Linked DNA regions of Arabidopsis thaliana. The protein of the gene in region 1 interacts with the protein of each later gene in a biochemical or structural test. Each region holds a gene or a part of one and is shown on either strand. Other genes may lie near its edges.

Region 1 (4,100 bases):
TTACCACAGAGGAGTTCGGTGCCGTGATGCGTTCCCTCGGTTTAAACCTGACCCAAGCTGAGCTTCAGGAGGAGATCAACGATTCGGATTTAGATGGTGACGGAACCATCAATTTCACTGAGTTCTTGTGCGCAATGGCTAAGGACACTTACTCTGAGAAAGACCTCAAGAAAGATTTCAGACTCTTTGACATAGACAAGAATGGTTTCATCTCAGCTGCTGAAATGAGATATGTGAGGACTATCCTCCGGTGGAAGCAAACTGATGAAGAAATCGATGAGATTATCAAGGCAGCTGATGTTGATGGTGATGGTCAGATCAACTACAGAGAGTTTGCCAGGCTTATGATGGCCAAGTGAGATTTAAACAACTTTTCCGCTTCCCCTTTTTTTACTACCTCTTATCTAATTTCATAAAGAATGTTCCTCTCTTGTTCTTAAATTTCATTCTGAGTTCTTGTGTGTATGGCTAGGAATCAAGGTCATGATACTAAATATGACACAACTGGTGGCACTTTGGAGAGGGACTTGGCGGCCGGGGTTGCCAAAAATATCATCGCAGCGCCAATGACCGACTTCATCAAAAATTTGTTCGAAGCGTTGTTTTCTTGAAATGGTACATCAGTAACTTTATGCCATTAGGGTCTGGCTGGTATGTTAGATCTCTCTAAAAAGGCGTTTGATCTTTGAAAATAATTTCTATGTAATAAATTTATTGTGTTACCATCTTTTCTTGCATGCAATTTATTAAAATGAGTTTGTAATATGGTTTCAGTATCGAATATAATTGGGGTATCAATGTATCTTTTGAGAAAAACATTTAAAACGTAGCAGAACTAATTATTGAAAACTGGTAGCATTACTAAAAATTGATCTAAATCGGTTAATGATTTGGCACATACAGTGATCAAATCAGCTAAGCCTCATATCTCACCGTCCCAGAGTTCTTCAAGACTCTTATAAGGACTCATCTAATGAATAATGACATGCCTCGCACCAACCTGCCCTGCAACATTGAAAACACACGTCTACAATTTCGATAACCCAAGTGTTTTGAGCAAAACAAAGGACGCCCTTTGACCCATTTGGACTACAATGTGTGGAAAATTACTGCATGTTCAATATCAGAAAACTTGGATAACATGTCTTCGATATGGGCTTTTCTTATTTTGTACCCGTGTAATTTCGCTGGCCCAAAATCCAAAGCAACAAGGGTAAATTTGTATGCAGTACATGTGGCATGTTGGGTCATATGGAAACAGGTCACAAGACTCAGATTCTTTACATTGCGGCGGGTAGTAGTAGCTTTCTAGTCTACCTTGAGATTGCCCCTGCCCGTGATTCTTGAGTCGGGCACAGGAAGTGGTTTTCTGTCAACTTTACTTGCTCAAGCCATCCCCGCAAGGTAGAAACTTCTGTGGTCTTTCTCGTTATTTCTTATGTACCATGTTTTTGGTCGTTTGTGTAGTTTCTTCTAACCTTCCACACACTTGTCTTGCGAATTCCTTCCACAGCAGAGATGTTAAATCAGGAATATTCAGGATGTAGAAACTTCTCTGCTCTTTCTCAAGTAGAATGCACTTGTGGAATCCCTCAGATCAGATTTCATTGGTAACGTTCGTTAACTTCAACAACAACACTTTACTAAACATGTGCTAATCAATTGTCATACGCTTGTATTTCTTCGATTCATTTTTATCTTATGCAAGTGTTTTCTCTATTATGATTTATTTAGTTTTGCATAAATAAGGACACTCCTTCGGAGTCAGTATAAGAAAACTATAACCTAAAATATAAATTAGGCAAATGTCCACTCACCCATCCAAAATTCCATTGTAAATAAATGTTTCTTTCAAATAAATGAAAAAAAAAAAAAAAAACAAGTTGGAAGAAGGAACCAACCAAGTAATTGCCAGTCAAAGGAGGCGACTCACACTTGAAAGGATAAGCTGACATGGCAGACAACGATCCTGCGTAGAAATTGCGTGAACGTGGAAAAGTTTGAGGATATAGCCGTCATTTCAAATAATTCGGGTACTATTATATAAGGCTTCAAGTCCTGGTTCGTAGTACAAATTGTCTCACAAACTCTTCTTTCAGTCATCACAGAAAACAAAAAAAACAATGGCGGATAAGCTCACTGACGATCAGATTACAGAATACAGGGAATCTTTCAGGTTATTCGACAAGAATGGTGATGGTATGGTTCATCAACTCTTTCCATTTAATCGTAATGTTGGATCATGATCATCTTCAAAGCAATGAAATGACTAACACAAGTCCTTGATTACTTTTTGTAGGTTCCATTACGAAAAAGGAGCTCGGTACCATGATGCGTTCAATCGGTGAAAAACCGACAAAAGCTGATCTTCAGGACTTGATGAACGAAGCGGATTTAGATGGTGATGGAACCATCGATTTCCCTGAGTTCTTGTGCGTAATGGCTAAGAATCAAGGTCATGATCAAGCGCCGCGTCACACTAAAAAAACAATGGCGGATAAGCTCACTGACGATCAGATTACAGAGTACAGGGAATCTTTCAGGTTATTCGACAAGAATGGTGATGGTATGGTTCATCAACTCTTTCCATTTAATCGTAATGTTGGATCATGATCATCTTCAAAGCAATGAAATGACTAACACTAGTCCTTGATTACTTTTTGTAGGTTCCATTACGAAAAAGGAGCTCCGTACCGTGATGTTTTCCCTCGGTAAAAACCGGACAAAAGCTGATCTTCAGGACATGATGAACGAAGTGGATTTAGATGGTGATGGAACCATCGATTTCCCTGAGTTCTTGTACCTAATGGCTAAGAATCAAGGTCATGATCAAGCGCCGCGTCACACTAAAAAAACAATGGTGGATTATCAGCTCACTGACGATCAGATCTTAGAATTCAGGGAAGCCTTCCGCGTATTCGACAAGAATGGTGATGGTATGGTTCATCGTCCCTTTCTCGCTAATCGTACATATTGGATCCTGATCATCTTCAAAGCACTGAAATGACTAACATAAGTCATTGCTTACTTTTTGTAGGTTACATTACCGTGAATGAGCTCCGTACTACTATGCGCTCCCTTGGTGAAACCCAAACAAAAGCTGAGCTCCAGGACATGATCAACGAAGCGGATGCAGATGGTGACGGAACCATCAGTTTCTCTGAGTTTGTGTGTGTAATGACTGGTAAAATGATTGACACTCAGTCTAAGAAAGAAACGTACAGAGTTGTGAATCAAGGTCAGGGTCAAGTGCAGCGTCACACTAGAAATGACAGAGCTGGTGGCACCAATTGGGAGAGGGACATAGCGGTCGGGGTTGCCAGCAATATCATCGCTTCGCCAATTTCCGACTTCATGAAAGATAGGTTTAAAGATTTGTTCGAAGCGCTGTTATCTTGAAATGACACGTCAGTAACTTTATGCCAATAGGGTCTGACAATTATGTTAGATCTCTCTCAAAAGGCGTTTCATCTAATGACAATAATTTCTATGTAATAAATTTATTGCATGTGTTAGTGTGTTACCATCTTCAGTTGTGTGCAATTTATTAAAATGAGTTTGTAATATGGTTTCAGTATCGAATATAATTGGGGTATTAATGTATCTTTTGAGAAAAACATTGAAACGTAGCAGAACTAATCATTGAAAACTGGTAGCTCACTACTAAAAATTGATCTAATATGATAAATCGGTTAATGATCTGGCACATACAGTGATCAAATCAGCTAAGCCTCATATCTTACCATGTTAATCAATTGTCATAAGCATGTATTTCTTCGATTTGTTTTTATCCGATGCAAATTTTTGCTTTGTGATTGTTATTGCAGAAACAAGGACGTTCGATGCACTTCCAAAAAACATATAATGTTACAGACAATGTAGTATTAAAAAGTAGTAGTTAAAAGCAAAATCTTTAATAATTTAGACAAATGTAGCGACAGCTCCACTTACCATCCAAACGAATACTTCACAATTGATAATTCTAATAAATGTTTTTTTTTAAAAAAGACAGCATTTAACAATAACGAGAAAACAAATACTAACGAATTGGAACCAGAAACCAACGAACCAAGGAAAATCAAAGGAGGCGACTCACTGGA
Region 2 (4,830 bases), 2.5 Mb from region 1:
ATCGTTACGATTATAAAACTAAAACGGATTGAATCATCATTTAGCTTATTGTTAAAAAAAAGATTCGAGGGAGAAATAATAATTGGAGTAAGGTGGGAACTAGTCCGTACAAAACATGGACCCCACGAAATATATAGTACGTACAAGACACAGAAGTAAGTCATTCCGATGTAGTTTTAGTAATTGGTACAAGATTGGGATATAGTTAAACTAGTTACCAAACACTTGGCTAAGAGAGAGTTTGAGAAGATACAGAAGTAACGGGAACAGTTATTGTCTTTAGGAACCAACGAGGAAGGGAATATCTCTCTGGGTTTATTTAACCATAAGTCCAGAGGTCAGTTCTGTTTTGTCTCTTTGCCAATTTAGCTGGCACAATTACGACTTTGTCCCTCTTCCACCAAACATCTCATGCATTTTTCTCCTTATTTCCTTCTTTTTTCTCCAAACTTCTTTCTCTTAAGTTTCCAAAATACTTAAGAGAATAACTGAATATAGTCACAGTCAAATATGTTAATGTTTGATTCAGATTCTTTAATTTAAAACTAAACCTAGGGACACTTATCTTAACCTAGGGACACATTAATTTTGAAAAACGTGTTCTAAGGTTAGCTAAGGAGAGGGCCATGCAGATATATATGCGCCAAATGAATCATAAGCGGTGGGCATATTTATGTCTGTCCTTTTTATGGCTTATGAAACAAAGTTAAAGCTATATATTGTGCATGAAACTTAGGCTACGTTTCCCCTCTATTTTCCATTCATTTTGAACTCAACATTTGCAAGTGTTAACCACACTTCTTCTAACTGTTGTGATTCGTTTATTCTAGCCATTTCACAGATTGAGGCTAGTATAAGTATTCTAGAGTACATTATATGAATACGTCTCAAACTTTTACTGTATAAACAAAACAGTTTTCCAACCGCGAACAGAGGTTGGATTAGAGCAACTCATGGAAAAGATAAATCGGAGATGAAAAAAGTTGTCACAGTGGTCAATCCACAATGATATGAGAGTAGGACAAGTAGGTTCATTCCCGTATAATTATATAATACAATATGTTATAGTAGCCCAAACATTATAGGAGGTGGAGCTAAAACAAAACAAAAATTAGCGAGAGGAGATCTCCAATTGACAATAATTGAATCAACCAAAACCTAACCTAACATAAAAACAATATCTTGGATTCAAATCCAAAGCTTGGAACGTAACGTAACATGAAGCCACAGAAAGCCAACAACATCCTAGTATATAGGTTGGGTCCCTTCCAGCATTTGTATCATCTTTATTAATGATCATTAGGTATGTTCATAGTCGGTATAAATATATAGGGTCCGCACAAACTGGTACACTTTTTTAATGGCAAACATAGTGGTACGAATTGATAGTAATTAAGTGTGTTTTGGTCAATAGCTAGTTTTTTTGGGGTTTTCAAAGATTATATATCCGTGACCATGAGTTCTCTAGTTCAACTCTCACTCACGAGAAAGACAAATGAAAGAACATACTGTACTAGTTTTTGTCTAAAAGTACTCTTTGATTAACCTTTAGAAAATTGATGTTATCATTAAACAAAAAAAATAGTTTCACTATCTCTTCCTATAACCTTTTTTACGGGCTCATTGAATAATTACATATCTTTTAGTACATTTTGTACCAAGACGATATAACATTACCAATCATCTTGAATTAGCCAGAAACAACAAACTAAAACTGTTTAAGTTTCAGAAACTAATCCATATATAATGTTGAGATTAGTTAGTATTCATAACCTATGGAGTATTAATCTTCAAAATTTTCCTCATGAAATCTGTATTTAGTCATCACTTTTTTAACACAGATGAATCACTAGTCCAATATTTCTCCAAAAAAAGACACAAGAGTCTCGAAATTGTAATCCATATCTGTAATTTTGCACCCCTATAATATGCCTAGAGGAAATAAGAAGAAAAAATAATGGGGAAAAAGAGAAGCTACTGCTACACTTTCAGGCACGTGACAACGTCTCACACGTGTCATATATCTTACGTCATCAAGTCCTCTTTTTCTCTCTTTCACTTTTCTGTTTACCTCTCTCACGCGTTGAAAAGTGCAATCAATCTTACATAATTAACCACAGTAAGAAAAAAAAAAAATGGTCTCTGTAACGTCTTTTTACTGTTATAACCTTACACGCATAAATACCCCTCACCAACTCTCTCTGTCTCGCCTCTCTCTAAAACTCCAACACTTCTCCTTCTTCCATCTCTCTCAAACTTCTGAAAATCTTCTTCTTCTTCTCAATCATAAACCCTAAATCTTCATCTCTTCAGATCAGAAACTAATGTCCATTCAAAGACACCCTGTCCTGTTTCATCTCTGTCATTAGTCTTCTGTTTTCAGATTCCAATTTTTTTTCTTGAATTATCCTCTTAGCCATTTCTTGATTTAACTTCGATTTTCCCGGCGATGTTACGAGAATCAGACGGTGAGATGAGTTTAGGAACAACAAACTCACCGATAAGCAGCGGAACAGAGAGTTGCAGCAGTTTCAGCCGGTTATCATTCGACGCGCCGCCGTCAACTATCCCCGAAGAAGAAAGCTTCCTTTCTCTCAAACCTCACCGATCCTCAGATTTCGCTTACGCAGAGATCCGAAGACGAAAAAAACAAGGCCTAACCTTCCGAGATTTTCGCCTCATGCGTCGTATCGGCGCCGGCGACATCGGAACAGTTTACTTATGCCGTCTAGCCGGAGACGAAGAAGAGAGCCGGAGCTCGTATTTTGCGATGAAAGTTGTGGATAAAGAAGCTCTTGCGTTGAAGAAGAAGATGCATAGAGCAGAGATGGAGAAAACGATTTTGAAAATGCTTGACCATCCATTTTTGCCGACTCTTTACGCTGAGTTTGAAGCCTCACATTTCTCTTGCATCGTTATGGAATATTGCTCCGGTGGTGATTTACACTCTCTCCGTCATAGACAACCTCACCGGCGATTCTCCCTCTCTTCCGCCAGGTAAAAAATATCAAATTTTATTGAATAATTTAATATTATGGACAAAGTCAGATTTTTTTTCAAAAAAAAAAAATTGTGAAAAAAGATTCATCATCATCAATGTATATATATATTTTATAGTTACATGCATTGACTCTGTTCACATTTGTTATCTTGTTCTGCAAGAACAGACCTGTTCTTATCATGTCGGTCTTTTCCAGTTCTTTGAATTGTTATCAAAGAGTCTTTTTCAGCCCATCACAATTTATAAACGTCAATAATTATGATTTTATTAGCTAATGAGTATTTATTTTGTTTTTGGTTACAGATTTTATGCCGCCGAAGTTCTAGTGGCGTTAGAATATCTACACATGTTGGGTATCATCTACAGAGATCTGAAGCCTGAAAATATCTTAGTTAGATCCGACGGTCACATTATGCTCTCTGACTTTGACCTCTCTCTATGCTCCGACTCAATCGCAGCCGTTGAATCTTCCTCGTCTTCGCCGGAGAATCAACAACTCCGTTCACCGCGACGATTCACTCGTCTCGCTAGACTTTTCCAACGAGTCTTGCGGTCTAAAAAGGTTCAGACTTTAGAACCAACCCGTCTCTTTGTTGCTGAACCGGTTACTGCCCGGTCCGGTTCGTTCGTTGGTACGCATGAATACGTGGCACCAGAAGTTGCTTCAGGTGGATCACATGGTAATGCCGTTGACTGGTGGGCCTTTGGAGTGTTTCTCTACGAGATGATATATGGCAAGACTCCGTTCGTTGCGCCGACTAATGACGTCATTCTCCGTAACATTGTGAAAAGACAGTTGAGTTTCCCGACTGATTCGCCGGCGACTATGTTTGAGCTTCATGCGCGGAATTTGATTTCCGGGTTGCTTAACAAAGATCCGACTAAAAGACTTGGGTCACGGCGAGGTGCGGCGGAGGTTAAAGTGCATCCTTTTTTCAAAGGTCTAAACTTTGCGCTCATTCGTACGCTTACTCCGCCGGAGATTCCTTCTTCCGTCGTCAAGAAGCCGATGAAATCGGCGACGTTTAGTGGTAGAAGTAGTAACAAACCAGCGGCGTTCGATTACTTTTGAACGTTTTCTACGGTCGAGATTAGGGCCACGTGTTAGTCTGTTTTAGCTGTACATATTCCCTCGAAGCTGTCCTTTTTTTCGTTCTTTAATTTTTAAAATTTCGTTAATCTGACTTATAAATTAAAAATTTAGGTGACTTTTCATACAATTTGTACAACAAACGGATTAATCTAAAACTAATCTATTTTATAATTATCATTATCAACTCTTCGGAACTTGGGAACATCTATTTACCAGTCTAACGATAGTTAATGTTAAGGCATTATATAGTTGACCAAATTTGGTCAAACATTTCTTACCGGTTTGAATGAACTACTTTTCACCGCAATGGAAAAGAAAACGAATTACTTTATAATAAAACTCGTCACGCCTAGACTTTGTAGTTCGACGGGTATAGAAAAAGAAAAGAAGATTCGTCTTTTGACAATTGTAACACATGAAGTCATATTTGCTCTTTGTTAAATCTCTACGAGTCTTTAGAATGTCAAAAAAGGGAGAAAAAAACGTTATCCATAAGGGTAGGAATCTGCCTTTTTGGATCCGACCAGTTGCATGATCTCTCTTCTGCTTTCGATTCGTTCTCTTCAATTTCAACTTAAGGAGAACAATAAACTATAGACGGCAAGACGAAATTGTTTTCTTGATATAGAGTATCAAACGCATTCCTCTAGTGAATTCGTTTAAGCTTTATATAAAGTGGTGTCATTTTCTTTAATGTGTTAAATCGATTTCATTAATTAGATACATTCACTTGACC

Evidence for each region. Proteins that work in one complex are often made in the same cells at the same time.
Region 2: the proteins of TCH3 (region 1) and PID form a complex in vitro, tested with the Arabidopsis thaliana proteins (one study listed by BioGRID).

What each region holds. Positions count from the first base shown.
Region 1 is NC_003071.7:17,136,008-17,140,107, forward strand, and holds TCH3 (Calcium-binding EF hand family protein), read left to right. Parts: upstream 1-1,821; 5' UTR 1,822-1,882; exon of another isoform or gene 1,883-2,108; 5' UTR 2,109-2,123; coding exon 2,124-2,199; exon of another isoform or gene 2,200-2,299; coding exon 2,300-2,566; exon of another isoform or gene 2,567-2,666; coding exon 2,667-2,936; coding exon of another isoform or gene 2,937-2,998; intron 2,999-3,037; coding exon 3,038-3,399; 3' UTR 3,400-3,600; downstream 3,601-4,100. Other genes in the region: AT2G41090 (Calcium-binding EF-hand family protein), read left to right, coding at 1-355, 473-611; AT2G41105 (uncharacterized protein), read right to left, coding at 2,444-2,479, 2,924-2,998, 3,048-3,152. UniProt on the Arabidopsis thaliana protein: Potential calcium sensor that binds calcium in vitro.
Region 2 is NC_003071.7:14,589,177-14,594,006, reverse strand, and holds PID (Protein kinase superfamily protein), read left to right. Parts: upstream 1-1,866; 5' UTR 1,867-2,449; coding exon 2,450-2,997; intron 2,998-3,304; coding exon 3,305-4,073; 3' UTR 4,074-4,271; downstream 4,272-4,830. UniProt on the Arabidopsis thaliana protein: Serine/threonine-protein kinase involved in the regulation of auxin signaling. Acts as a positive regulator of cellular auxin efflux and regulates organ development by enhancing polar auxin transport.